Anolis sagrei: one gene and its partner. The protein of the gene in region 1 purifies or fractionates together with the protein of each later gene. This does not show direct contact. Links are inferred from orthologs where the notes say so. Each region holds a gene or a part of one and is shown on either strand. Other genes may lie near its edges. The genes, in order: ZNF217 and CTBP1.

Region 1 (15,504 bases):
TATGTCCCTGCAATTGGATATCACAGGATTTTTTTATCTTGGTTTGTTCCTGGGTTTTTAATGCTTTCTCCTGATTCATCCGTTCCTTAAAAGAAAGTGACGCTTGAGTAGAAGGCAAAAACTTTGTCTTGGGAAGAGGAACTTCATCCTTCACCTGTTTGTAGCAAAAAATTAAGTTCTTGGGGTGCAACAAGTACTTTCACAGTAATTAGTACACAATGAAACAGGAACATACACTTTCAAACCAGGAACAGAATGTCATAATTACTATAATTACTCAGACCTTGTTGTGTGGCCATCTGTGCAGACAGGTCTCATGGTGTACTTCTGCCAGGGAACAACAGGATGATGTTGTTGGGTTATACGTGTTGGTTCGTCATTGGGTGTATGCTGATAACATGTGTACAATTGATGACAAAAACTTATCACTGGCTGTTGAAACATGGATGTGCTGGAGAGGAATGTAAATACTGAGAGCCAAGGTCATGCAAGTGGCTAATAGGAAAAACCACGTGTAATGCAGGAACAGCTCTGGGTTGTTTGATGCCATAATTACACAACCAAATCTGTCTGGACAGATGGCCAGGCAGTCTGTAAAAAGTGACAATAATGACAAAGTTCCGTTCCTAGCTTGAAAGTGTGTGTTCCTGTTTCATTGTGTAGTTCTGACTTGGATAGAAGTAGCCTTACTCCAAAAACTTTGTTTGTGTGCCTGAAACTTGATGAAACATGTGGAGGACACAGTTTTTTTTGGACTGCACATAAATAGTACCCTTTGCAGAGATGTGGATATGAAAATAACCTCATATCCGCTAATATGGAAAGCCGAATAAAACCCAGAAACAGAACCCTGTTGTTGGATGCCACAAGTACACAACCAAATCTGTCTAGACATATGGCCAAGCAGCCAGGCTCTAACAATAGTAGATAATGACAAAGTTCTGTTCCTGGCTTTAAAATGTGTGTTCCTGTTTGTGTACTGCTGACTTGGATAGTAGTGGTTCTATCCTATGAGGTTTGTAAGTGTGGGAGATACTTCAGGGGACAAGTTTTCTACCCAGGACAAAAAATGGGACTTTTGCGGTTCGCCGTATATTCTAACATCCTCATATCCGCATCTCGCAATATGTATATAGTAAAGGTAAAGGTAGTCCCCTGACATTAAGTCCAGTCATGTCTGACTCTGAGGTGTGGTGCTCATCTCCATTTCTAAGCCGAAGAGCCAGCGTTGTCCGTAGACACCTCCAAGGTCATGTGGCTGGCATGACTGCATGGAGCGCCGTTACCTTCCCGCCGGAGCGGTACCTATTGATCTACTCACATTTAAATGTTTTCGAACTGCTAGGTTGGCAGAAGCTAGGGCTGACAGCGGAAGCTCACGCCGCTCCCCGGAATTGAACCTGCAACCTTTTGATCAACAAGCTCAGCAGCTCAGTGCTTTAACCCACTGCGCCACCAGGGGCTCCCGTGCAATATATATATATATATATATATATATATGTATAAAACTGCCGGTTTCCAGCGAAAGTTCTGCCTCCAGCAGCCATCTTGGGAGCCTCTAAATCTTGGAACAAAGCATGATATTTGGACAATGGAGGCAGCAATCCTGGGACCAACAGGTGTATATGTGGACCTCTCCTGAAGTCCCGGGATTTTTTGCCCCTCACTAAAGCCTGTGATAAAGTGCTGTCTGGAAGCGCCCCAAGAAAGAGAATTTATTATTTATTTAGCAGTTTTGTATACCGGTCTTCTCACCTCCATCGAGGGACTCAGGCCGGTTTCCAACAACAATATTACAAACTATCATTAAAACATCATAATCCAAATAACACTAAAACATTAAAATAGCAAAGTACAGTCATAATTACAGTGGTCAGTCATCATGTATTGTCGAAGGCTTTCATGGCCGGAATCACTCAGTTCTTGTGGGTTTTTTCGGGCTATATGGCCATGTAGAAGGAAAGTCAGGGAGCACAGTAGATGTGCTTTCCTGGTCCTTAGTTTCTCCAATTTCCGTGTGTCTTGGAACAGTTTCTCCCCGTAGAGATGTTCAATGTATTGTCGAAGGCTTTCATGGCCAGAATCACTCAGTTCTTGTGGGTTTTTTCGGGCTATATGGTCATGGCCATATAGCCCGAAAAAACCCACAAGAACTGGGTCAGTCATCATCCTAAAATAATTGTTGGTCATCATCCATCCATATCACAGGATCTTGAGAAGAGGAATGACCCTGTTTAACCATTTCCTATGGTAGGTGATCACAGCTGAAACCTTTCCATCTTCTCCAGACATTAGGTTAACATATTTTAGGAGCAGGGCATTTTCAGTGGGGACTCTACCCTAGATCCTTTTAACTGGGGACCTTCCCCTTGTCAGTTAATTGTGAGTTGGCCAGAATGTAATCTGGACACCTCCTTTTTATTGTGAAAGTTTCTGCAATAAAGGGGCTGTCTGGATGGGCCCTTAGATTCAGTTTGGTTATTTGGAGTGCTGATTCAGAAAATTGCGTTGGATAGACCACATCAGCTCTAGTTTCTGATACAGAACATATGTCACCCAGTAGTTGCCATCTACTGGCGGCCTGAAAAGTTAAATAGCCTCTGTGTATGTCTGTATATGTTTGTATGTCAAAAATTGGCATTGAATGTTTGCCATATATGTGTACACTGTAATCCGCCCTGAGTCCCTGCGGGGTGAGAAGGGCGGAATATAAAAGCTGTAAATAAATAAATAAATAATTGTCCACAGAAAACCCTGTTTAATAAACTTCAGTACTATAAGAGAGTTTCACAAGGCCAGTTACTTTAATTGCAACAGTGTAGCAATGGTTAGACCGTGGACCATATTTTAGTTCTTGCGCTCCACTGGTGGTCAATAGACCACAGGTTGGGAACCACTGTTCTGCAGTGTAGAATCACCCAAATTGGCACCGTATACAATGAATGGCAAATGAGTAGTTCTATATAAAAGATACACATCTTCTATAGTTTCCTATGGCTGTCTAGGGCCTCATCTACACAACTGTATAAAATCTTACCTTATCTGCTTTGAACTGGGTTATATGGCATCGTGGACTCAGATTATCTGCCTTGATATTCTGGGTTATATGGCTATGTGGAAGGGCCCTTAGTATCATGACTTTACCTCTTTTTCCTCTCTGTCTCAACAAATATGGAAAAGTATCTATTCTAAATAAATATTATGTTATTGTATAAATAAATATGTTGTTGTTTACACTGGTAGCATTGCTGTGTTCTGCTCACTCCAAAATGCTGATCAGTTTACCTTAAAGATGATTTGCCTAGAATAAGTTTTTAAAAAAATATATTTGTATTATTTTAAATTTACAACATCCTATAACATTTTGAACATATAGTTACCTGAAACATGTCAGTCAAGCAAATGAAATAAAACATAATTTAGTAGTAATATCTTCATTGTTTAAAGAAAAAACTTAACACGCAAGAGGGAATTGGGACTAGCAAGAAATAACTCAGGCATTGTTAATAGGCTTGCTGCCAAAGCAACAATGAGGGAGTTATTATTTTGATTCCCTTGTAACAGCCACTGAAATTAGAATATCTCATGCCCCTATACAACTGAAGACATTTGATAAAGATGACCCCTAAGTGATATGTTTAGCTGCTCAAATAAACTGTCAAAACTCCGCCCTCTTCACCAGTTCCCTCATTCTTTCTGTCTTCCTGGAAAACAAAAATCTAATCCATCAAGTCCATCCTCCAACCCCTTTCCTCCAATCCTAGGCCAGTTATTCTACTTTGCTGAGTCCTTTGTGCTTGCTAATCCAAGAAGGGCATTTTCTTACCATTCTAATTTGGAAGTTCTGCATTGCTCTCCAACACTTAGTCAACTGTTTGTTTTCTTTTTAATCTGGCTCTCCACCTAAATTACACGCAGACAAGATTTGACTATAGAATTCCACAAAATTCTGAAAATGAAAAATAATCTGCTGTTTTAAAAACAAGGAACCATATAACAACCCTATAGGCCAGTATCATTATAAATATCATTATAAGATTGTATAGACCAGTGTTTCTCAACCTGGGGGTCGGGAACCCTGAGGGGGTCGCGAAGGGGTGTCAGAGGGGTCGCCAAAGACCATCAGAAAACACAGTATTTTCTGTTGGTCATGGGGATTCCATGTGGGAAGTTTGAGCCAATTCTATCGGTGGAGTTCAGAATGTTCTTTGATTGAAATGAACTATAAATCCCAGCAACTACAACTCCCAAAAGTCAAGGTCTATTTTCCCCCAGACTCCACCAATGTTTACATTTGCGCATATTGAGTATTTGTACCAAGTTTGGTCCAGATCCACCATTGCATGAGTCCACAGTGCTCTCTGGATATAGGTGAACTATAACTCCCAAACTCAAGGTCCATACCCACCAAACCCTTCCAGTGTTTTCCGTTGCTCATGGGAGTTCTGTATGGCGAATTAGGTTCAAATCCATTGTTGGTGTTCAGAATGCTCTTTGATTATAGGTGAACCAGTTTGGTCCAGTGAATGAAAATACATCTTGCATATCTGATATTTACATTATGATTTATAACAGTAGTAAAATGACTGTTATGAAGTAGCAACAAAAACAATGTTATGGTTGGGGGTCACCACAACATGAGGGGTCACGGCATTAGGAAGGTTGAGAACCACTGGTATAGACGTTTGGAATGCTTTGCAATCACCAATAAACCATTTGACAATTCTATACAGAGGTCAGTATAATTTTTTCTACCTTGGATGTCGAAGCCTGAAGTTCAAAGCATATAGAATCATGGAATCATAGAGTTGGAAGAGACCTAGTAGGCCATCCAGTCCAACCCACTGCCAAGAAGCAGGAAAATTGCATTCAAATCACCCCTGACAGCTGGCCATCTAGCCTCTGTTTAAAAGCCTCCAAAGAAGAAGCCTCCACCACACTCCGGGGCAGAGAGTTCCACTGCTGAACAGCTCTCACAGTCGGGAAGTTCTTCCTAATATTTTATTTAAATTTAAAATTTAAAATAATACAGATGGAATCTCCTTTCTTGTAGTTTGAAGCCATTGTTCCATGTCCTAGTATCCAGGGCAGCAGAAAACAAGCTTGGTCCCTCCTCCCGAAGACTTCCTCTCACTTGTTTATACATGGCTATCATATCTCCTCTCAGCATTCTCTTCTTCAGGCTAAACATGCCCAGCCCTTTAAGGCGCTCCTCATAGGGCTTGTTCTCTAGACCCTTGATCATTTTTGTCACCCTCCTCTGGACACATTCCAGCTTGTCGACATCTCCCTTTAATTGTGGTGCCCAGAACTGGACACAGCATTCCAGATGTGGTCTAGTGGTACAGATGTGATCTAATAATCTACATTCAGAAACTGAATTCTATGGCAGTGTAGATGGGGCCTTAGAAGGAAGGCTGGAGTCACATGTGGAACCGAGGACTTTCAGATGGCCATTATACTGTATATTTTGCATCCACACATTCCTTGTTTTTAATATTAAATTTGTTACATATTCTTCCAATCCTTCTTCTATGGTTATCATATGGCTTACTGGTGGTTGCAAAGCATTCCAAAGCATTCCATACAATCCTATAATGATGTTGGTTTACTGTATATGATTTTGGTATAGCATGGTGTTTCAAGCATTGGATGCAACTCGAGAGAACAGAGTTTGTATCCCTGTTTGGCCATGGAGACCTACAAGATGACCTTGTATGCAAGTCACACTTTCTCAGCTCCAGATGAATGCCATAGCAAACCTCCTCCTAAGAAATCTTGCCAAGAAAACCCTATGATAGGGTCGCAATAGCTCTGAATCACTTGAAGGCATGCAACAACAATGGCTTACTGGAGAATGCAAAGTATTCCAAACACCCCTAGAGTTTTATAGTTGTTACATGTGTGTGCGCGTTAAACATCAGAGAACCAGAGATGCTGGACTCTTCTCTCAACAAAACAGCAGACCTAAAACTAGTGAATCCCAAACTCACAGATCTAAGATTTCCTACAAAAAATTACGTCCCTTATATATATCTATATTTCATCCATGGAGAAAAGAGTAGATTAAATCATGAGGTGGAAAAACAGAACCATAAAACCAACAAACTAAACCACCTTTCTTCACCCAAGGTATATTTTTCATACTTAGAAGAACCATTTTCACTTCAAAAGTTTATCAGAGAGAGAAGATTATCATTTATTTCAGGGTTTGCTAAACTTTAGGATGATTCCCCACTGATAACACAGGCCTGTGACATTAAGGGTCATAAAACCGTTTAAAATGTATGTTCTGGTTTTATAGGAATTTAGCATTTTATGTCCAAAAATGAGCTCAATTTTGCTCCATCATGTAAGAATTTTCCCCTAACTTGCTTTGACATTTATATGCAAATCGTTTTGAAATGGAATTTGTGAAAAGAACAGTGTGTGATACATTTTTTACCTATTTACCTATTTTCTTCCTAAATTAAATTTAATTTCTTCCTATATTTACCTATTTTCTTCCAGTTCCTCACAACTATATCTCATGCCTGAGCACCCATTTTCACTTTATGGCTTTGTCAGCAAAGGAAGGAGAGAAATGTTGTCATTTATGAAGGGTTCTCCAAACTTTGGGATGATTCCCTAGTGATAGTTTTCTTTTACAGTTTCTTCCACAAGACAGCCAGAGCTCCCATTTTATCAATTACCCCCCTTTTGTGGCAAAATCCCACCAAACCCCTTTAACAATGCAGTGTAAGGCATAGTGAAAAGGACTGCCAGTTTAGCCCTTCCAAAAGTCACTTGAGAATATGACCTCAATGCCTCAATACATCTTCAACAGGATGAAATATCACAATAGTAAAGAAGTGTGGCAAAATTACATGAGAGATTGCCAAGGGTGCATCTCCACTGTAAAATTAATACAGTCTGACACAACTGCTGTTTAAAGTTTTGCAATGTCTTTAGCTTTCTCTCCTAGGGTGCTCACCAAACTCCAACTCCCGCAATTTCATAGCATTGAGTCATGACAGTTAAAGTTGTGCCAAATTGCATTAATTCACAGTGGAGATGCACCCCAGTTTCAGGCTTTGACAATGCAAGTCAGAGGGAAAGTAATTTGAATGCCTGGCATAAAATTACAATTTAAGGTTGGTTTTGTCATTCTAGTTAGATTTATTAATATCACATTTATTTATTTTTTTCCATATTAAAAATAAATATATATTAGGATGATTTTAATGCCTTGTCTGAATGTTTAAATTTTAAATAAATATATATTAGGATGATTTTAATGCCTTGTCTGAATGTTTAAATTTTGATTTTTGTCATATATTTAATGGTTTTAATGATTTTAAGTCAAAGTTATATGTGCTAAAACAATCATTGTCAATGGCAAAAATGGCTATGGAAGTTTCAATTGTGTTAAATTAATGTTAATAACATGGAACTTTTTAGTTTTTTGGCGGCTCAGGGAGCTTCATCATTTAACCAGGCGTGTTTGGTTTTTGTGATTTGTGTTACTGTATGCCAGAATTTAATTTTTGCCAATAATATGATGTAAACTGCCTTGAATTCCCCCCAGGGGTGAGAAAGGAAGTATATAAATACAGAAAATAATAAATAGATAAATAAATGCATCTCTTTAGCCTTCTAGGAATCACTCTACCTGGGCCCTTTGTATCCCAGAGACACCCTGGATGCTCAAGCCCTATTATAGACAGTGATGCAGGAAAATGGTGCCCCTTATATAAAATGGTTAAATCAACCTTTGCTTTTTGAAATGTCTTTGGATATATGTGTGTGTAGAGAATATTTCTAAGTTGTGAATACTTAATCTGTGCTAGCTGTTAAAGATGAATGCATACATGCATGCATTGAAGGGGGAACCCAGCATTTGCTTGCAACTCCCCAAACTAATCTGCTTCCTCTCCTTCCCGCCTCTTATCTGTGGCTGTTGTTGCTGCTGCTGGAGGAGGAGAAGGAGAGAGAGGGGGGAAAGAGGGGAGGGGGAAAGAAGGCAGGACCGCCCCTTCTTTGGGGGTCAATGAGGCCAAAGCAAGGCAAAGAAACCTGATAAAAATCATCCTTTCTTCTCCAAGATGGCAAAGCACTCCTTCCAGCTAGATTGCAGTGTTTTGCAGACATCTGTAAGAGGGTATGTATGACAAAGCAGCAATGCTATTGGGGTTATTTTTCTATGTGCAATGGCTTGATTGCTTGACATTTTAACATTAAACCTCTGAGACATGGCCCTGTTGATGTGGAATATATCTGCATGCAAAGGGGATCGTTGAGGCTGATTATTTATTTCTCTCAAGTTAGATTCCTTTGCAGGACAGAGTGATATGCATTCAAAAAAGAGAGAAAAAGAAAAGAAGTGATGAAAGAAAGGACAAGACATATAACTAAACCATAATAGGGCTCTGACCATCTCCCTCCCTCATGGAAAGAAAAATTAAAAAGGTAAATATAAAATATTGTACTATTATGGTCCAGCTAAATAATAGTCACAGATTATTCTGTCATTAGCTTCCAAAATGCTCAGAGAGTCCACAAACAGATAAAATTGATATAGCTTTGAAAATCCACTTTAAAGGCCAATTCTGCAACCTTGGCAATCCCTTCTTCCATTGTGTATCCTGCAATTCAGTTTCCAAATTTGAGCTAACAATAATCCTTGCTACTTTTGACATACATTCAAGAAGTGATCCATATTTACTATTCTAAATCTTTATCCATGTGTGATTGGTGCATTATTAAAGGATCCCCATCAAATTCCTAGCTTTCTTTTGGAGATGGATGGGGCAAAACTCCAGTTCTTTCATTTTCCAGAGCAAGCCCCTTGATTCCATTTTGAAACAAAAGAGGAGAGAAACCATGGAAATCTAAACCCCATTGATTTTGGGGAGGGGGCTTACTCCCAGGTGAAAGATTGCAGCCTGAGGCCATTCCTATTAGCCATTTATAAATCCCACTCTTTAATTTTGCTGTGGCTCAAGGGATTCCTGGATAGTAACACCACTGGAGCCTGATGTGTTTTGTGCAATTGGGTTTTCCAATCAAGGTATCTCTCTGTTGTGGATTTTGCCTTATTTTTCTCCATGGCATCAAAACAGGCCTCCTTATTTTATTTATTTACTTGATTTATTTATTCATACCCCGCCTTTCTCACCCTGCAGGGGACTCAAGGCGGCTGACAAACTCCGGCAAAAATTCAATGCCACAAGATTAAACAATACTAAAACAAGCTATAAACAGTTAAAACATATAAACAAATCAACACACATAAAAGCAATAAAACAAATTAAAAACATAATAAATTAAAAACATAACTAAGTGCCGAATCATTGGTTTCCATACTTATTTATTTTCTCATGGTCCTTGCTCAAGCTATTGAGGTCAATTCCATAATAATTCTGTTTTCCGAACACCTGTGTACAGAGCCAGCCTGATGTCACTGGGGAGAGAGTTCCACAACCGAGGGGCCATCACTGAGAAGGCCCTACCTTTCGTCCCCACCAGTTGCACTTGCGAGGGGGGTGGGACCGAGAGCAGTGCCTCCCCAGCAGATCTTAAAGCTCCAGTACACTCATAAAGGGAGATCCGTACAGACAAGTATCTCCTTGGAGATGAGGCCCCATCTACACTGCCATATAATGCAGTTTAACTGCATTGAACTACATTGTATGCATCGACACTGACCATGTAATGCAGTTTCAAACTACATGGCAATGTAGATAAGGCCCTTGCAATCCTCAGCTTGATCCATCAAAGTTTACTCCTAAGTAGGCACACCTATTCAAGCAGGGTGAGGTGTCTTGCAGAATCCCAAGAGGTCTCTGCTCTGGAGGCATTCCCAATTAAAAAGAGACTGGGGTGGAGCAAAGGCAGAAAAAGAAGGAAGAATGCTAGGTTAATCCAGTTGCAACTTTTATTCCTGGGTTCATAACCCCTTGCAAAAATTGCATATACATCAAAGACTCTTGATCAATGGGTGGGTTTAGAGGTGTGTTTGTGCTTCCATGTTACAGCTCCATTTCTCAGGAAGACTTGCATGGAAACAATATAAACAAACCAAAATAAATCTCCCTCCTACCATATATATGAGGGGTTTATAATCCCACCCAACATAGGACAGAGACCCTTGAGATCAAGGGTGGATTTAGAGGTGTTCTTGAGCCTCCCATGTTATGGCTTGATTTCTGGGGAAGACTTGTGTGGAAATAATATAAACATTTAAAAACTAATTACCCTTGTAACATATATAAAAGGGGTTTATAATCCCACCTTGAAATCTCCAATAGGCTGAAGACCCTTGAGATCAAGGATGGATTTGGAGATAGTATTTTCTATCCATGTTATGACAAATCACCTTTGTAACATATATACCAGAGGTTCATAATCCCTCCATGAAATTGCATATAGGCTGAAGACCCTTGAGATCAAGGGGCGCATTTCGAGGTGTGCTTTTCTGTTCATGTTGATTTCTCAGGAAAACTTGTGTGAAAGCAATATATGTACTTAAAACAAGTCATCCGTGTAACACATACATGAAGTGTTCATTATTCCACCCAAAAATTGCATATAAATTAAAAACCTTCGAGATCAAGGATGGGATAAGGAGGAGTGCTTGTGCTCCCACATTATTGATTGATTTCTCAGGAAATCTTATGCGGAAATGATAGAAACACTTAAAACAAATCACCCTTGCAACATATATAGGAGGGGTTTATAATCCCATTTTGAAATTACATATAGGCTTGAGATAAAGAATGGATTTTGAGGCGTGATTTTCCTTCTATGTTATGATGTTATTTCTCAAATCATCCTTCTAACATACATAGGAGAGGTTCACAGTCCTACTCAAATAATAATAATAATAAAGATAGATAGATAGATAGATAGATAGATAGATAGATAGATAGATAGGCTGGAGGGCCATGAGATCAAGGAGTGGATGTGTTTTTCTATCCATGTTATGGTTTTATTTCTCTGGAAGATCTGCATGGAAACAATATAAACACTTAAACCAAAACAAAGCAGACCCAAAAATTGCAAATAGGCTGAAGACTCTTGAGATCAAGGATAGGCGTCAAGGGCCTATATAACCACACAGCCATATAACCCAGAATATCAAGGCAGAATATCCACAATATCTGTTTTGAACTGGGTTATCTGAGTCCACATTGCCATATATTCCAGTTCAAAGCAGAAATGTGGGATTTTATGCAGATGTGTGGAAGGGGCCTATATTATGGCTTGATTTCTCAGATGTGCATGGAATCAATATAAACACTTTAAATCAAAAGGAATTAGTTACCTTTGTAACATATATATGAAGTGTTCATAAACCCAAAAATTGCATATAGGCTTGAGATCAAGAGATGTGTGGGTTTAGACGTGTTATTGCTGGCTTGGCTTTCTCAGGAGAGCTTGCATGGAAATGATATCAACACTTAAACCATAATCATATGCATAATTTACATATAAGCACATAGGTTGGATATCCCTGAGATCAAGGGTGGGTTTAGATCATCATTTCTCAACCTGGGGGTTGGAACCCCTGGGGGAGGGGTTGCCAAAGACCATCAGAAAACATATTTCTGATGGTCTTAGGAACTCCTTTGGCAGAGAAGGCTGAAGTTCTCTAGGCCTGTCCTCTTCCTTTTTGGAAAGCTGTTGAATCCTCCCACCAAAACGTCTCTGTTGGGGAGGGGAGAGCAGGCATGCTAGGAGCATGGCAGTGTGGTGCACATATGCGGGTGAGGGGAGTGTGCGAGGTTGGAGGGAGGCTCACTCCAGGGAGTCCGTTCAAGACATGGGGCTACTGTGTGGGAAGTTTGGCCCAATTCTATAATGGGTGGGGTTCAGAATGCTCTTTGAATGTAGGTGAACTATAAATCCCAGCAACTACAAAGTCTATTTTCCCCAAAGTCCACCAGTGTTCACATTTGGACATATTGAGTATTTGTGCCAAGTTTGGTCCAGATCTGCCATTGTTTGAATCCACAGTGCTCTCTGGATGTAGGTGAACTACAACTCCAATATGCAAGGTCAATGCTCACCTAACCCTTCCAGTATTTTCAGTTGGTCATGAAAGTTCTGTGTGCCCAAGTTTGGCTCAATTCCATCGTTGGTGGTGTTCAGAATGCTCTTTGATATAGGTTAATTATAAATTCCAGCAACTACAACTCCCAAATGACAAAATCAATCCCCCCCCCCCCCCAAGGTTCAGTTCCATCATTGGTGGTGTTCAGAGTGCTCTTTGATTGTAGGCTAACTATAAATTCCAGCAACTACAACTCCCAAATGACAAAATCAATCCCCTCCCCACATCCCACCAGTATTCAAATTTGGGTGCATTGAATATTTGTTCCAAATTTGGTCCAGTGAATGAAAATACATCCTGCATATCAGATATTTACATTATTACATTACATAACAGTAGCAAAATAACAAGTTATGAAGTAGCAATGAAAATAATTTTATGGTTGGGGGTCACCACAACATGAGGAACTGTATTAAGGGGTCACAGCATTAGGAAGGTTGGGAACCACTGGTTTAGATGGTTTGATTTGGAGGAAAACATGCTTTATAGATTTATAGACAGGATACAAAGACTTAATAATCTTTGCATTGATCACATTCAGGTTCCCCTTTTCCTCCAAATGCATTTGTGTTTAGAGAAAGGGGCACATGGTTGCCCTCTTCCTTTGCAACACTGCTTCTTCTCCAGCTAAGCATCCCAACCTCTTTTATCATCCTCCTTATTGGGAAATGCCCTCCCTTTGCGCTCCTTGGAAATCCTCCTCCTCTTCCCCCAACCCATTGGTATCAGGAGGACAGAAGGCAAAAGGATCAGGTGTGTGTGTGTGTCTTTGTGTGTGTGTAGCAGCAGCTCACGCAACCAGCCTCAAAAACTCCCAGTAGCCCTCCTCCTCCTCCTCCCTTCATCTTCCTCCTCCTCTTCCTCCTCCCTCAAGAATCCCTCCTCCCTCTCTCCTTTCTCATTCAAACGCTGCAACTCCTGTTGTGTCAGTTTTATCTCTTTCCTCCTCCTCCTCCTCCTCCTCCACCACCACCAAACCCCACCACTAGGCAGAAGAGAAAGCAGCAGCAGGTAAAGAAACCTAGATTATTATTATTTTAAAAAGAGATCCTTTTTATTTATTTATTTTTGCAAAGTCTTCTCATTAGGCTAGATTTCTCTCTCCCCCCCTCCTTTCTTTCCCCCAAAGACCCCCCCTCCCTTTTCAAAAGGAGGAAAGAAGCAGATGAGGAAGAGAAAGAGTGTAGCTTTTTCTGCTTCCTCTTAAACTTCTGGCTCTGTGTGTGTGATTTCTGCCTCGCCTTGGCTATTTACAGCGCCTCTCTTCTTCTTCTCCAATCCCTTTTCCTGCCATTCCAGTAGATGTTGGGGAAACTTCTATAGCTATCTCTATAGGTATTCCTTTTCAATACTTAAATATTATTATTGTCGATCTGGGTGGCAAGGGAAAGGGGTCTTTTTTGTGAGTTATGGATATTCCTAGAAGCAAGGTCTGCAAAATGTGTTTGGCTGAAGGTTGGGGGGGGGGGGGGGATAGGAAAGCAAGGGGAGGGGGGTCAGAAATGCTAATGAAAACTTTATTGATCCGTTTTGGCCAGTTTCGTTTTTGAATGCTTTCGAAATGAATTGAATCTACTCTTCCTAAACTATTGCAATTTTTGAATAAAAAAGATAGATATGCACTTCTATTTATGTAAAGATACTGGAGATTATAGGGTGGTTGGGGAGGAAGGAGAAAGCCTTAAAAATAAGCCACCTTCTTGGCTCTGGGGAAACAACAATAGGCTTAGGCAGAAGAGGAGAGTGCATATGCATAAAGAGTGTGGTTTCACTTCCCTGTGCAGAAGGCTCACCTTATCTATACATGGGGGAGACATTTCTTCATATTTCATTGGCTCCCCTTGTTTTTTGGGCTGGTTTTTAATATAATTTTTTGTTCCAGTTGGAGAAATCCTTTCTCTCAAAGCAGCTTCTGGACATGCAGTCCCTTCTCTCCATGCTGTGTGTGTGTTGAATCCCCTTGTGAGTCTCTGCATTGAAGTGGAAGAGTTTTTGAAGTCTTGTGGCCAGGAAATTTCTATGCTGGGCTTCATGTTAAAAGGGCATTTGGGGGTGTTTGTTGTTCAGAAGGACTTATTCAGCCAGTGGAACAACAAAAAAGGACAGTTGTGCCTTATCTCTTTTCTTTCTTTTTCCAATACTGTCCTTTCTAAAGTGACCTTGAAAGCTTTTTTTCTTTCTCTTCTTTTTCTAAATACTTCTTTTCCTAGGTGGAAAAAAAGGAGGGGGCAAGGAGAAGAAAGGCTCTATAGTACAGAGTCGAAAGAAAGCAGAAATAGGAACTTCCAGACTGTAGATGAAGTGAAATCATTTACAGAAGAATGTGAAAAGGGAAGTTTATGTGTGTGAAGGAACAGAAGGAAATAGCAGACTTTAAAAAAATGCAAGAGGGTGGGTGGGAAGCTCCTCTCATTCTTCACAATGTATTTCGTTAGTTAGGCCTTGAAAGCTGGCTTGATAGGATCAGAGCAGCCAAGGAATTAAATGCCTAAGTACAAAATTGAATGCCAGCCATTGACTTGATGACCAACACTTGCATTATGTGGGCTGGTAAAGATTGGGCTTTTTGTATGTCTATGGCCCCTTCCACACAGCTGAATAAAATCCCACATTTTCTGCTTTGAACTGGGATATATGGCAGTGTGGACTCAGATAACCCAGGGCCTTTCCACACAGCACTATATCCCAGATTATCAAGGCAGATAGATAATAATAATAATAATAATAATAATAATTTTTATTTATACTCCGCCACCATCTCCTCAGAGGGGACTTGAAGTGGCTTACATGAGGCCAAGCCCTGCAATGTATTACAGCAAAATAAAATACAGAACAACAAAAATAACATCACAATAAAATAAATAAAACAATCAAGTAAAATAAGCAGTGCAAAATGACATAATATAAAATCAGTGGAAAATCCCACAAGATCTGCTTTGAACTCAGGGCCCTTCCAAAAATATTCCCAAAATATTAAGGCAGAAAAGCCCACATTATGTGAGTGTGGACTCAGATAACCCAGTTCAAAGATTTTCTGCCTTGATATGGGATGTAGGACTGTGTGGAATGGCCCTGGGTTATCTGAGTCCACACTTTGATAATGTGGGATTTCTTGCCTTGATATTCTGGCACATAGGGCTGTATGGAAGGCCCCCAAGTTCAAAGCAGATATTGTGGTATTTTTTTGGCTTGATATTTTGGATTATATGGCTGTGCGGGTTTGCAAAAGTATCTGAGCACTATGCTTAGTAACAATGGCTTGCAAGTATTCTCCATGTTTTGTTGCACTTTAAAGGGATCTTTCCTATAGATTTGGGGTGTGAAATCCTTTAATTTGTGGTCCCTGTTTTGCTGGATTGGATATTTTCTTGGGAGTGCTGGCTCAAATAAGTAGGTTAAACTGCTTTCTT
Region 2 (15,576 bases), on another chromosome or scaffold:
TTCCACACAACCAAGGCCAGGTATGTCTGTCCAGAAGCCAACAAGAAAACTGGAAGCCCGCACATGCATCTACCAGGCCCCTGAAGATCTCAAAAACGATTATCCTCAATCTGTGTTTCTATAGTAGAGACAAATCTATCCTAGTAGAAAGCTGTAGAAGCTCCTGGTGCATTTGTGTTCAAAATAGCTCCACTGGGTTGGCCAACTGATTTGAACACTGGGTTGAACACTGGAAATCCACTGAATTTTTTTTCAAAAAGACGCCTATTTCAGGGAGGTTTTGTGGACAGCCTTATATAGAATTACAGTCAGCCCTTTGTATCCACTTATTTAGCCAACAATGACTTGAAAATACTAAAAAAAACACCAAACTAAATCCTGATTTTTGCCATATACCAAGCAGTTCCACTGTTACAGATATTTCAGATCTTCAGCTTCTCCTTGGCAGTGTTCCAGTTCCCAGGTAACTTTTCCTATTGTTTTTATTCAGTAATTCACGTAATCCCAGCATGTTTCAAGAATTCTGGACTATTTTTTCCAAGATGCCCTTTGGAGCTCCAAAACAGTCATAGCCTTCAACCCAAACACAGCATTCCCTGTGATTGTATACTGCAGAGATTATTCAAAATGACAGCTGGTCCTTCTTTTGACCAGCCTGTCTGCCATTACCAGTACAAAACCCTTGACAGGCCTTAGAGAACATGAAAGCCACTGTCCTACTTAATAATAATTTTCTGTGCTGACACAGCATGCACATTAACTGAAAAAGTATTTGCAAACACAGCGTTAGATTTGGTTGCTGCCTGATTTCTACTGCACCCTCTCTTTTGTTTTGTTTTTCACAAATTCTATCAGCTTTCTAAAATCCATGATCATACTACATAGTTTAAAAAAATGTTTTTCCCTAACCAGTGAAAAGCAAAGCTCAGGGCTGATCTAAGGTGCATCCTATACACTTACTTAAGTCCCACAGGAATCAGTAATGCTTATTTGAAACAGACATGTAAATAATTATTCTATTTCACTACATGCATACTCAACTGCATATCACGCTAACTTCAGTAGCATTTACTCCCGGGTCAGTGGGCATAGGACTGCAGCCATAGCTGTCTTTTGGGGGAAACCAACTGGCAGCTAATTCACGAAGAACAAAGGGAAATGGTTTATCTTCCGATCACTGCAAGATTTAATCAAGCCCCTAAAAGCATTCTGTTTAACTATTTGCTTTGAGTTATTGATAGTAAGATAATGGCAGTCCAGTTTTAGGGACAGCTTGCATTACTATCTTCTTTAATTCACATCATTCTGACTATTTATTTGTATCCTCGGGTGAATTTCATTAAACTGAAGAGGGCTTTTTGGTGGCTGAACAGATCACCACGCAGAAATAGAAGTCTCCCTTTGTGGGGTATAAATATCATACACAGATATTAACTCAAAAAGAAAGAACAAGTCTGTTCTATCCTTGTTTTTAAAATAATGGCCTACCAATATTTCTCCTTGTAACAACTTGGAAAATATTGTGCTGTCAAAGACTTTCATGGCCAGAATCACTGGGCTGTTGTGAATTTGAGAATGCTACTGGAACATAGCCATACTGTCCGAAAAAACTCACAACAACCCCTGGAAAATATTGTTTTTCTTATATTTAGTCATTTTTCTTTCAATTGCTGCAGTTGCTCCTTTAATTGCATGATACGCTTTCTCAAACTTTAGTATCATGACCATTCTATGGGGGGGGGGGGGTTAGTAACAAGTAAATTGGAAAGTAAAAGGATGGGCAGTGGGTGAGAGAAAAAGTTTCCCCCACTTATTACATGCTTCAATGCTATTTCCTTGCACAATGCCAGGAAATATCAAAAAATAAAAAATGTTAATTACTATATCAAAGACTGAAGCAAGTAGAATTATAGTTAATAAAGGAATTATTTAAAAAACACATCAAATAATACTAAGAAATTCATATGGTTTTTGTGATTAAATATAAATAAAACTGTGTTTTCCCTTAGATGCTAAAAATAACCAAAAAGCCTCCTCTCCCCCATGTTACTATCAATGCAAATAGATTTTCTTTGAATGTGATAAATTGAACATAATTGTAAAACCATTACTTAAGTACTCATTCTATCTGCAAATTAATAATGGTAGGCATGGGCATATTACAAAAAGGAACGGTGATTCATACAAATAAGAAATGTGCTGCACCTAAAATGTCATTTCGTGTTAATGTTATATGCTGACAGGATAATCATATTTCTTTTTTTTAAAAATGGGGGAGGGGACAAGAATATAATATAGTTTTATTGTTAGTATTTTTCTTCCCATTAGGTATTCACAGCTAGCATCATGTAATTTAAAAACTACACCACTTTATTGGAACTTTCATTAGAAATAAAACTGCTTATCAGCAGTTCTGAGCAGTGGCCCCTTAGAATCTGCTAGGGTCTAGTTCCAGGTCCTCTATGGATGCCAAAACCCATTGAAGCTCAGGTGTTATTATATACAATGGTATGGTAAAATAGTTTTTCTTACATAATTCCCTTGCTTTTTGGAATGTCTCCTTTTTTTAATGTTTTTCAATAATGGATGGTTGAACCCGTGGATACAGAATCTGTAGATACCAAGGACCAACTGCACATAAGGAACTGTGCCTTGGTCAGTCATCATCACATTGCAGTCATTGATTGAATTTAAGTAAATAATATTTTAAAACCTAAACCTGAGATAAAAAATGATTTTTTATTATCAAAGATTATCTTTCCTTATTTTGGGAAGGGAGAAATGAAAACTATGCTTTTGAGCTATAGCAAGTTTGCATGAGATTTTACTTTGGTACTTAGACCAAAGTACCTTTGAAGTAGCTGGGTTAACTCTCTGTGTTGCTAATATTAGTCTCCAGAGGACAGGGCAAATACAACATTTAATCAGATCTGAAAAAGGCAGGCCTGGAGCACCCAACATTAACAGCCAATTATTGAGGGAGACACAATGTAGAGGAAGCAAGGCATATTATAAGGGGAGAGGTTCTAAACACTAAGGCTGGATCTACACTGCCCTATATGTCAAGATCTGATCCCAGATTATCTACTTTTCCTACATTATCTGGCAGTGTATTATTATTATTAGTATTAGTATTATTATTATTATCTTTATTTCTATCCCGCCTTTCACCGCATGGGGACTCAACGTGGCTACCATCTATCCACAATAAACAGTATAAAAAGAGCAATACAAAAGTTAAAAACAATTAAATAATAACAAATGTAGTAAAACCAGAATTAAAATACAGCAAATTCATTAAAATAGCCTTTAAAACTCATATACCCCCAATCTCCCCCCACCATTCTCCCCAGAGTCTCCCCTTACCCTTCCCCAAAAGCCTGTTGGTCTTGATCTGCTTGCGGAGGGCCAGCAGGGATGGGGCCATGCTGGTTTCTCTTGGGAGTTCCATTGCCTGGGAGCAGACACCGAAAAGGCCCTCTCTCATGCTCCCATCAAGCGTCCTTGAACGGGTGGTGGGACTAAGAGAAGGCCCTCCACAGTAGATCATATATGAGTGTAGACTCATACAATCCGATTTGAACGTAGCAGCTTATATAATGACTATGGGACTTGGTACTATGATGTTAATCTGTTGTATTGTATTTATAGGGGTTTTATAGTGGGTTAAACCACTGAGCTGCTGAACTTGCTGACTGAAAGGTCAGAGGTTCAAATCTGGGGAGCAGGGTGGGCTCCCGTTATTAGCCTCAGCTTCTGCCAACCTAGCAGCTCGAAAATATGCAAGTGTGAGTAGGTACTGCTTTGGCAGGAAGGTAATGGCACTCCATGCAGTCATGCTGGCCACATCACCTTGGATGAGTACCACCCCACAGTCGGACTCAACTAGACTTAATGTTAAGGGGGGGGGGGGCTTTACTTATTGTATTTATATGTTTTAATAGTTTTATAATTTGATATGTTATATTTAGTATGTATAATGCAGCATTGAATTTTGCTATGATGTAAGCCACCCTGAGTCCTCTTTGAGGTGAGAAGAGCATGGTATAAATATAGTAAAGAAATAAATCCAATTCAAAGCAGATAATCTGAGATCAGGTTCTGGGATATAGATCAGTGTAGATCCAGCCTCGGGACCTCATCTACCCTGCCCTATAATGCAGTTTGAAACTGCACTATATGGTCTGTGTAGAGTCATATAATGCAGCCTGTCTACTTCATCACACTAGAGCAGGCATGGACAAACTTTGGCCCTCTGGGTGTCTTGGACTCCAGCTGTTAGGAATTTTGGGAGTTGGACGTCCAAAATACCTAGAGAGCTGAAGTTTGCCTGCACTAGAGAATGAATCCAGTTTGTGTCTCCTGCAGAATTCTGGGATTTGTAGTTTAGTGAGGCTGTTAAAGACTTGTCCCTAAACTACAAACCCCAGAATTCTGCAGGAGGCAGCAACCGGATTTAAAGTGGATTCATTCTCTAAGTGCAGTGTTTCTCAACCTTGGGGTCAGGATCCGGGGGGGGGGGGGGGTCAGATGGGTCACCAAAGACCATCAGAAAACATAGTATTTTCTGTTGGTCATGGGAGTTTTGTGTAGGAAGTTTGGCCCAATTCTATTGGTGGGGTTCAGAATACTCTTTGATTGTAGGTAAACTATAAATCCCAGTAACTACAACTTCAAAATGTCAAGGTCTATTTTCCCCAAACTCCACCAGTATTCACATTTGGGTATATTGAATATCCATGCCACGTTTGGTCCAGATCCACCTTTGTCTGAACCCACAGTACTCTTTGGATGTAGGTGAACTACAACTCCAAAACTCAAGGTCAATGTCCACCAAACCTTTCCAGTATCTGCTGTTGGTCATGGGAGTTCTGTGTGCCAAGTTTGGTTCAATTCCATCATTGCTGGAGTTCAGAATGCTCTTTGATGGTAGGTTTAACTATAAATCCTAGCAACTACAACCCCCAAATGACAAAATCAATCTCCCCCAACCCCACCAGTATTCAAATTTGGGCATATCGGGTATTTGTGCCAAATTTGGTCCAGTGAATGAAAATACATCACGCATATCAGATATTTACATTATGATTCATAACAGTTCCAGAATTATAGTTATGAAGTAGCAATTAAAACAATTTTATGGTTGGGAGTCACCACAACATGAGGGACTATATTAAGGGGTCACAGCATTAGGAAGGTTGAGAACCACTGCTCTAGTGTGAGGAGGTCCTAATAAGTGAGTTATAGGAGTCAACACTGGCCACGTAAAGTAGTTCTAAACTGCGTTATATGGTAGTCTAGATGGCCTCTCTGTTGATGGGTGGCTGTAAACAAAAGCGTGGTTGTGCCAGTGTGCCTTCCCAGAATAAGGAAAACTCTCAGCAATGTGCCCTCAAAATGCACTTTACCACTGATTTAGGAATGACTGCATTCCCTCAATTCTCTCTGAAAATCCTATCCCAGTTATATCCTACCTTGCTCACGTCAGAATTATTTTTTAATTTTAATCTATTACATTTGGCCCAACCATTGGATTTAAATGCTTGTATGTCACTGTTGATTGTTTATTGCCTATTTTTTGTTAATGTGATTTATATGAATTGTATTGTATTGATTGTTTGTTTATTGATGTTTTGTTTATTGATGTGCGGTGGGCTTGGCCTCATGTAAGCCGCACCGAGTCCCTTGGGGAGATGGTAGCGGGGTATAAATAAAGTATTACTATTATTATTTTATTAAAAGCCCTCTTGACCACAAGGCCCTTACATGGCTTCCTAAGAACAATGCCCACTCCAAGCCGGCATCGAAAGAGCAGCCCTGCGCTCCACGCTCCCTTGGTTGGATGGCCAAGAGGGAGAGACAGAAGATGGATCAAAAGGGAGGGCAGCGAGACAGCCAGGAAGTCAGGGAGCCCCCCAGAGGTGAGGAAGCGGGAGCTCGGCTTCTTCCTCCTCCTCCTCCATCTTGGCACAAACGGCCCCCTGGAGGAAAGGAGGGAGGGAAGGGGCGGCTCGAAACCGGGCCCAGGCGGTGCCAGGAAGGAAGGGAAGGAGGAAGGACAAAAGGGGACGACATCAAACTTTCCCGAGCGAGGCAAGAGGCGCCAGGCCTTGGACCCTCCCAGCGGCGCCCAATAACCATATTCAGCCTTTGGGGGCGCAACCGGAAACCGGCCTCCAGCGAGCCCCCTCCCCAAAGGGCTGTGTTCACGGGGAAAGGCCCCAGCGGAGAGCGAGGCCAGGCCGAAGCAGAGCCCCCCCTCCCCCAATGTCCTCCCTGCGGCCTACTCCTCAGCTTCTGAGGGGAAGCAGGAGGGGACACAATGCCTCACAAAGCGCGAGGGGCCTTCTCCTCCTCCTTCCCCCACCCCTCCCTTCCCTCCGTGCGCGAGGCGGGAGAAACAGGCACAGCAAACCCGAGGCAGCGGCGGCGCCTTACCGAGCGGCAGGCCCTTGTTGAGCAAGTGGGAGCTGCCCATCGAGAGGCCTCTCAGGGGCAGGGCTCCAGCGGGGTCTGCTCGGGCGCGATTCGGAGCATATGGCGGCCCCGGCGGCTCCCTCGCCCCCTTCTTTCCTTTCCTTTGCCTTCCCTCCCCGCCCGGCCCCTCCCTCCGAGCCCTCGCACTGAGGCTCCGCGATCAGGGAGGGAGGGGGGAGCAGGAGGAGGAGGAGGCGCGCGCAGGCAGGGGCGGGGCCGGGCTGGGCTCGCGCTTGCTCTCTTGTCTGCTGGCCGGATGTGGAGCCGGAGAGGAGGGAGGGAGGGAAGGAAAGGGAAGCTGGCGTGCGCGCGGGAGGAAGGGGAAGAGGAGGAGGAGGCGTGGCCTCCGCCCCGCCCCTTTTCGGAGGCAGAAGGACCCCACCTCTGGAGGGAGGGAGGGAAGGAGGGCCGCCTCCCCGCCTGATTCATTGCCCCGACGAGATGGGACCCTCCTCCAAACACGGTTTTCATTCACGGTTCATCTTCACCGTAGACGGCCTGAATTTTTTTAAAAAAAAACAATATTTACAATAACTTTGTGCAGATAGCAAATATCAGATAGCAAAGGTGCCCCTGCCTCAGCCTTGTCGGCGTTTATATAAGTAGCCTGCAGACTGACTTTACCCTTGTAATAACTCTATATAAATAAAAATGTCATGTTTGTTTGTGGGATTAACAGAACGCAAAAACCACTGGACGAATTGACACTAAATTTGGACACAATACACCTATTAGGCCAACGACACAACAACAGAGAGGAAACAAACAAGGACATCTAATCACCTCTCAACAAAAGATTCCCCCAGGCACTGCCAGGCCATCAAATGCTAATCAAGGTGATCAGTTGAAACATTCACACCTAGCTCCAGCAGACAAAAGTCCTTTGTCCCACCCCGGTCATTCCACAGATATATAAACCCATTTTCCTACTTCCAACAGACCTCACTACCTCTGAGAATGCTTGCCATAGATGCAGGCGAAATGTCAGGAGAAACTGCCTCTAGAACATGGCCATATAGCCCGGAAAACCTACAACAACCGAGCATTACATTTTTATTTATATAGTTACTACAAGGGTAAAGTCAGCCTGCGGGCTACTTATGTAAATGCTGACAAGGCTGAGGCAGGGACACCTTTGCAATGCTTCTGGAACATGGCCATATAGCCCGGAAAACCTACAACAACCCAGTGATTCCAGCCATGAAAGCCTTCGACAATACAAATGTAATGTTCGTTTGTGGGATTAACAGAACTCAAAAACCACTAGATGAATTGACACTAAATTTGGACACAATACACCTATTAGACCAACGAGTGACCATCACTCATAAAAACACTGAAAAACACAGCAGAAGAGACTTTAAAAGCCAAAAACAATAATTACATAACGCATGCGCAAAACCACATATATATACACAAACATACACATATACACACATATATGCACACACACAAAACACATATACACAGACTGGGCCACAGCAGTGCGTGACAGGGGACAGTTAGTCTATATTAATAAAAATCTATATAAATAAAAATGTGTTAATTTGTGGGATTAACATAACTCAAAACCCACTGGACAAATTGACACAAAATTTGGACACAAGACACCCCTCATGCCAACAAGTGACCATCACCCATAAAAACACAAAAAAACACAGTGGATGAGACTTAAAAAGCAAAAAAAACACACACACACACATTACAACGCATGCGCAAAAGCACATATATACACAAACACACATATATACACAAATATAAACACACACATATACAAATATATATACACACAAACATATACACAGACTAGGCCACAGCAAAGCGTGGCAGGGGACAGCTAGTATATTAATAAAAATGTAATGTTAGTTTGTGGGATTAACATAAGCCAAAAACCACTGGACGAATTGACACCAAATTTGGACACAATACACCCATCAGGCCAACAAGTGACCATCACTCATAAAAACACTGAAAAACACATTGGGACTTAAAAAGCCAAAAAAGCAAAAAGATGCTACAGAGCATGCACAAAAACGACTCCCCCGGCAAAAATACCCACACAATAGCAATTCCACACTCTCTTTCGGACTATTGCTCCCAGCATCCCCTAGACCAGGCCTTTTAAGAGAGGGGGATGATCCAAATGCAGTGTTTCCAAGCTGCAAGCTTTCTTCTTAGATTTTTTAAAGAGCATCCCAATCCCTGCATACTTGCAATTTCCTATTCTTGGACTGCAACTCCCAGCAATCCTCCAGATAGGTAAGGTAGATAGATGGATGGATGGATCAGGAGGACTGCTAGGAGGTGCAGTCCAAGAGTAAGTAGAGAAGGAAGAAAGGGGAGAAAGAATGGGAAAGAAAAGGTGGGGGAAGGAAGGGAAGAAGAGAAGAGAAGAGAAGAGAAGAGAAGAGAAGAGAAGAGAAGAGAAGAGAAGGAAGGAAGGAGAGAAAGGAAGGAAGGAAGGAAGGAAGGAAGGAAGGAAGGAGAGATGTAAGATTGGCCACAGTAACGCATGGTGGGTACAGCTAGTGTGTAATTCATAAAAGAAAAACACATGAGTCTTCAGCTTTAAGTAGAAAAGAAACGAAGTTGTATTCACAGCATACAAAACAAAATAGAAGAATTGCTCTCACCAAAAACATAACATAAAACAATATCTTCGGTGAGTTCTCTTCATTCCGCGTTGATATGCAGTCTCCCTTAGTCAGTTGTCCGTAGAGTGACCTTGACTTGCTGCCTTATTTTCAGCTCTGGACGCTTGCAGTAACTTCTCTCGGCATCAAACAAACAAAGGTTTTTCAACTCAAACCGAGCCCCAAGCAAAGCATACAAACACAATGCTCAAACACGTAGAACACAATACTCCAACACAAAGAATGCAAAACTCCAACACGGATAATGCAAAACTCAAATACAATGCAATACTTAAAGTACAAACACACATGAGATAACAATACACTTAATTATCCCAATAATTAACTGTGTCAGCTGTAACAGAAACAGCTCTGATCCTTTCCAAAACTTAAGAAAAGTACGTTGCAAACCTTTAGTAGCAACAAGCCCCCCCACCAGAGTAGACAATTTTGGAATCTGGAGTAGTTCTGGTCTTTGGAATTCCAATCTGTATGCACATTGGGACACTCGCAGGAACACCTCATCAAGCGAGTCCAAAAGTGGCAGGCTAAAACCCAGAACCTGAATTAATGGTTGATACCAAATGAGAGACTCCCTCCTGGGCACACACAAAACTGGGCGACTTGGAAGGTGCTGAGCAGACTGTGCTCTGGCACCACGAGATGCAGAGCCAACCTTAAGAAATGGGGCTACAACAGTGTTTCGCAACCTGGGGGTCGGAACCCTGGGTGGGTCGCAAGGGGGTGTCAGAGGGGTCACCAAAGGCCATCAGAAACCACAGTATTTTATGTTGACCGTGGGGGTATTGTGTGAGAAGTTTGGTGAGGTTCAGAATGCTCTTTGATCGTAGGTGAACTATAAATCCCAGTAACTACAACTTCAAAATGTCAAGGTCTATTTCCCCCAAATTCCACCAGTGATCACATTTGGGCATATTGAGTATTCGTGTCAAGTTTGGTCCAGATCCATCATTGTTTGAGTCCATTGTACTCTCTGGATATAGGTGAACTATAACTCCCAAACTCAAGATCAATGCCCACCAAATCCTTCCAGTATTTTCTGTTGGTCATGGGAGTTCTGTGTGCCAAGTTTTGTTCAATTCTGTCATTGGGGGAGTTCAAAATGCTCTTTGATTGTAGGTGAACTATAAATCCCAGCAACTACAACTCCCAAATGACAAAATCAACCCCCCCCCCCCCAAACCCCACCAGTTTTCAGATATGGGCATATTGAGTATTTGTGCCGTATTTGGTCCAGTGAATGAAAATAAATATCAGATATTTACATTATGATTCATAACAGTAGCAAAATGATAGTTATGAAGTAGCAACAAAAATAATGTTATGGTTGGAGGTCATCACAACGCGAGGAACTGTATTAAGGGGTCACGGCATTAGGAAGGTTGGGAAACACTGGGCTACAAAGTGGAATCCACGACATGCCAGTTGGAGAAGAGCAAACCATAGACCACCTATTACAATGCAGCCTGAGCCCAGCCACATGCACAATGGAGGACCTTCTTGCAGCAACACCAGAGGCATTCCAAATGGCCAGCTAGAATGCCAAGTTTGCAAACTTTGTGGTTTTTTTTAATGCAATACAACTGTTTGGTTCGCTCCTGACACGATAAATAAATTGGGTTGCTATGAGTTTTCTGGGCTGTATGGCCATGTTCCAGAAGCATTCTCTCCTGACATTTCGCCCACGTCTATGGCAGGCATTCTCAGAGGCTGAGGGGAAACTGGGCAAGTGAGGTTTATATATCTGTGGAATGTCCAGGATGTAAAACCCATCTTTACATTGAAAAATCTTCAACATGTCTTGCAAAATAAACACATAGCCATTAGACTAGTCATTCTCAACCTGTGGGTCCCCAGATGTTTTGGCCTCCAACTCCCAGAAATCCTAACAGCTGGTAAACTGGCTGGAATTTATGGGAGTTGTAGGCCAAAACACTTGGGGACCCACAGGCTGAAAAGCACGGCATTAGAATCTCAAGAAAGATTGCATAATAGAGTTAATATAAGCACTATTCAGGTTTTTAAACCCATTATGAGCATGGTGGCGCAATGGGTTAAACCCTTGTGCCAGCTGAACTACTGACCTGAAGACTTGAAGGTCAGCAGTTCAAATCCGTGAGATGGGGTGAGCTCCTGTCTGTCAGCCCTAGCTTCCCATGCAGGGACATAAGCAAAGCCTTCCACAGGATGGTAGCACATCTAGGCATCCCCTGGGCAATGTCCTTGCAGATGGCCAATTCTCTCACACCAGAAGCGTCTTGTAGTATATTCTCAAGCTGCTTCTGACACGATTAAAAAAAAACCCAACTTAACATGGAAATTGCTGGGTACCTAAGTTAATCTATATCTATATCTATCTATCTATATCTATATCTATATCTATCTATATCTGTATCTGTATATATAATAAAAGAGAGTGTTTGTAGTGGAAGGGTAGAAGTGTGGAGGGCGGACGTGTTTGTGGCAGCTTTCCGATTGGCTAGCCTGAAAGTTCCAAGATTCTGATTGGCTGCCGCTGTGGAGCTATTTGCATATGGTCTCTGATTGGCCAGCTTCAATAGGAGCCCCTGGTGGAGAAGAGGGCTCATGGCAGAAACGGGGCATGACAGAAGGAAATTTGCATATGGTCTCTGATTGGCCAGCCTCAAATCCAACATTCCGAGATGAGAAAGAGAGGAAAGGAAAGGCCGGGGGCTGGGTCAGAACACTACCAATACAGAGCAGACTTGGCACACAGAGCCCCCATCACCCACTCTACATCCTACTGCAGTTTGGAGGACTATGAACCATGGATGATGGGACTTGCAGTACCACCACTCACATTCTTAGACCGCTGTAAACGTTATCCAATGACTCATCAGGACCAAACTTCGCACAGAGACCTCTCATGACCCACTTTACGTCCTGGTGTGGTTTGGCCGGGGATGGACCGTGGATTATGGGACTTGCAGTACCATTGCTCAATTCTTCACAACCACTGCAACCCTCATCCAATTACCAATAAATACCAAACTTGGCACACTGAGTCTCCATGACGCACTCTACATCCAGGTGCAGTTTGAAGGAGGATGCACCATGGACGATGGGACTTGCAATACCTGCACTCCCTTCCTCAGACCATTACAACTGCCAACGATGATGGATCAGGACCACAATTTACACAGAGACCCAGCATGACCCACTCAACATCCTGGTGCAGTTTGGAAGAATTTGACAGTGGATGATGGGACTTGCAGTCACTTCACTCACTTCCTGAGACCACTGAGACCCTCGCCAATGACTCATCAAGACTAAACTTGGCACATGGAGCTTCAATGACCCACTCTACATCCTGGAGCAGTTTGGAGGACGACAGACCATGGATGATGGGACTTCAAGTACCTTCACTACCCAAGACTGCTGCAAAACTCATCTAATGGCCAATCAAGACCAACGTTGGCACACAGAGCCCCCATGACTCACTCTACATCCTGCTGCAGTTTTGGAGAAGAGTGGACCATGGATGATGGAACTTCCAGTACCTTCACTCGCATTCTGAGACCTCTGCAAACCTCATCCAATGACGGATCAAGACCAAACTTGGCACATAGACCTCTCATGACCCACTTTACGTCCTGGTGTTGTTTGGAAAAATTTGGAGATGGATGATGGGACTTGCAGTACCTTTGCTCACTTCCTGAGACCACTGAGACCCTCGCCAATGACTACTCAAGACTAAACTTGCCACATCGAGCTCCAATGACCCACTCTACATCTTGCTGCAGTTTGGAGGAGGACAGACCATGGATGATGGGACTTCAAGCACCTCCACTCCCTTCCAAAAATTGCTGCAACCCTCTTCTAATGACCAATCAAGACCACACTTGGCACACAGAGCCCCCATGATCCACTCTACATTCTGCTGCAGTTTGAAAGGGGATGGACTTTGGATGATGGGACTTGCAGTACCTTCACTCACTTACTGACACCACTGCCACCCTCATCTAATAACTGATAAAGGCCAAACTTGGCACACAGAGCCCCCATGACCCACTCTATATCCTGCTGCTGTTTGTAGGAGGATGGCCCATGGATGATGGGACTTCAAGTACCTTCACTCACTTCCTGAAAATAATGCAGCCATTATCCAAAGACCAATAAAGACCAAACTTGGCATACAGAACCGCCATTACCCACTTTCTCTAATAACCCGGGCAACGCCGGGTCCCCAAGCTAGTATATAATAAAAGTCAAAACTTGTATGCGGAGGACAAAAGTGTGGCGGTGTATGTGCTCGCTTTCTGATTGGCTGCCACTGTGGTCTCTGATTGGCCAGCCTGAAAGTTCAAAGATTCCGATTGGCTGGGCAGCGGTGCTATTTGCATATGGTCTCTGATTGGCCAGCTTCAAGAGGAGCCCCTGGTGGAGAAAAGAGTTCATGACAGAAACGGAGTCATGAGAAGAAAATTTGCATATGGTCTCTGATTGGCCAGCCTCAATTCCAAGATTCCGAGATGACAAAGAGAGGAAAGGAAAAGGCCAGAGGGGGCTGAGTCAGAAAATTACCAATACAGACCACACTTGGCACACAGAGCCTGCAAGACCGACTCGACATCCTACTGCAAACATGGATGATGGGACTTGCTGTACTATAACTCACATTCTGAGACGGCTGTTAACCTCATCCAATGACTGATCAGGACCAAACTTGCCACATAGACCTCTCATGACCCACCTTATGTCCTGGTGTGGTTTGGATGAAGATGGACCATGGATTATGGGACTTGCAGTACCTTTGCTCAATTCCTGAGACCACTGCAACCCTCATCCAATTACCAATAAAGACCAAACTTGGCACACTGAGTCTCCATGATGCACTTTACATCCTGGTGCAGTTTGGAGGAGGATGCACCATGGACGATGGGACTTGCAATACCTGCACTCCTTTCCTAAGACCATTACAACTGCCAACAATGATGGATCAGGACCACGATTTACACAGAAAGCCCGCATGACCCACTCTACATCCTGGTGCGGATTGGAAGAATTTGACATTGGATGATGGGACTTGCAGTCACTTCACTCACTTCCTGAGACCACTGAGACCCTCGCCAATGACTGATCAAGACCAAACTTGGCACACAGTCCCCATTACCCACTCTACATCCTGGTGCACTTTCGAGGAGGACAGACCATGGATGATGAGACTTCAAGTACCTCCACTCCCTTCCCAAGACTGCTGCAACCCTTACTAATGTCCGATCATCCTGGTGCTGTTTGGAGGAGTACGGACAATGGATGATGGGACTTGCAGTACCTTCACTCACTTCCTGAAACCACAGTGACATTCATCCAAATACCAATAAAGACCAAACTTGGCACAGAGAGCCCCCATGGCCAACTCAACATTCTGGTGATGTTTGAGGGAGACTATGGATGATGGGACTTGCAGTACCTTAACTCACTTTCTGAGACTGCTGTGACCCTCATCCAATGACTGATCAAGACCAAACTTAGCACACAGAGCCCCCATGACCCTCTCTCCATCCTGGTGCACTTTCGAGGACAGACCATGGATGATGGGACTTCAAGTACCTCCACTCCCTCCACTCCCTTCCCAAGACTGCTGCAACCCTTACTAATGTCCGATCAAAACCAAACTTGGCACACAGAGCCACCTTGACCCACTCTACATCCTGATGCTGTTTGGAGGAGGACGGACAATGGATGATGGGACTTCAAGTTCCTTCACTCACTTCCTGAAAACAATGCAGCCGTTATCCAATGACCAATAAAGACCAAATTTGGCATACAGAAACGCCATTACCCACTTTCTCTAATAACCCGGGCAGCGCCGGGTTCCCAAGCTAGTATATAATAAAAGTCAAAACTTGTATGCGGCGGATGTGTGGCGGTGTATGTGCCGGCTTTCTGATTGGCCAGCCTGAAAGTTCCACGATTCTGATTGGCTGCTGCTGTGGTGCTATTTGCATAAGATCCCTGATTGGCCTGCTTCAACAGGAGCCCCTGGTGGAGAAAAGGGTTCATGACAGGAATGGGGACATGACAGAGGGAAATTTGCATTTGGTCTCTGATTGGCCAGCCTCAATTCCAAGATTCTGAATGGCTGCCGCTGTGGTGCTATTTGCATATGCTCCCTGATTGTCCTGCTTCAACAGGAGCCCCTGGTGGAGAAAAGGGTTCATGACAGAAACAGGGACATGACAGAAGGAAATTTGCATTTGGTCTCTGATTGGCCAACCTCAATTCCAAGGTTCCGAGATGACAAAGAGGAAAGGAAAAGGCCAGGGGAGGCTGGGTCAGAAAATTACCAATACAGAGCCCACAAGACCCACTCGACATCCTACTGCAGTTTGGAGGAGGATGAACCATGGATGATGGGACTTACAGTCCCATCACTCACATTCTGAGACTGCTGTTAACCTCATCCAATGACTGATCAGGA

The links.
Region 2: the proteins of ZNF217 (region 1) and CTBP1 purify together in Homo sapiens (affinity purification with mass spectrometry; 10 studies listed by BioGRID and IntAct, counting the BioPlex papers as one, with this or other methods). This does not show direct contact. The link is inferred for Anolis sagrei from reciprocal best matches to the Homo sapiens genes ZNF217 and CTBP1.

Annotation. Positions count from the first base shown.
Region 1 is NC_090024.1:224,625,333-224,640,836, reverse strand, and holds the start of ZNF217 (zinc finger protein 217), read left to right. Parts: upstream 1-8,058; 5' UTR 8,059-8,140; intron 8,141-12,969; exon of another isoform or gene 12,970-13,105; intron 13,106-13,341; exon of another isoform or gene 13,342-13,429; intron 13,430-15,504.
Region 2 is NC_090023.1:143,537,639-143,553,214, reverse strand, and holds the start of CTBP1 (C-terminal-binding protein 1), read right to left. Parts: upstream 6,714-15,576; 5' UTR 6,479-6,713; coding exon 6,439-6,478; intron 1-6,438. UniProt on the Homo sapiens protein: Corepressor targeting diverse transcription regulators such as GLIS2 or BCL6. Has dehydrogenase activity. Involved in controlling the equilibrium between tubular and stacked structures in the Golgi complex.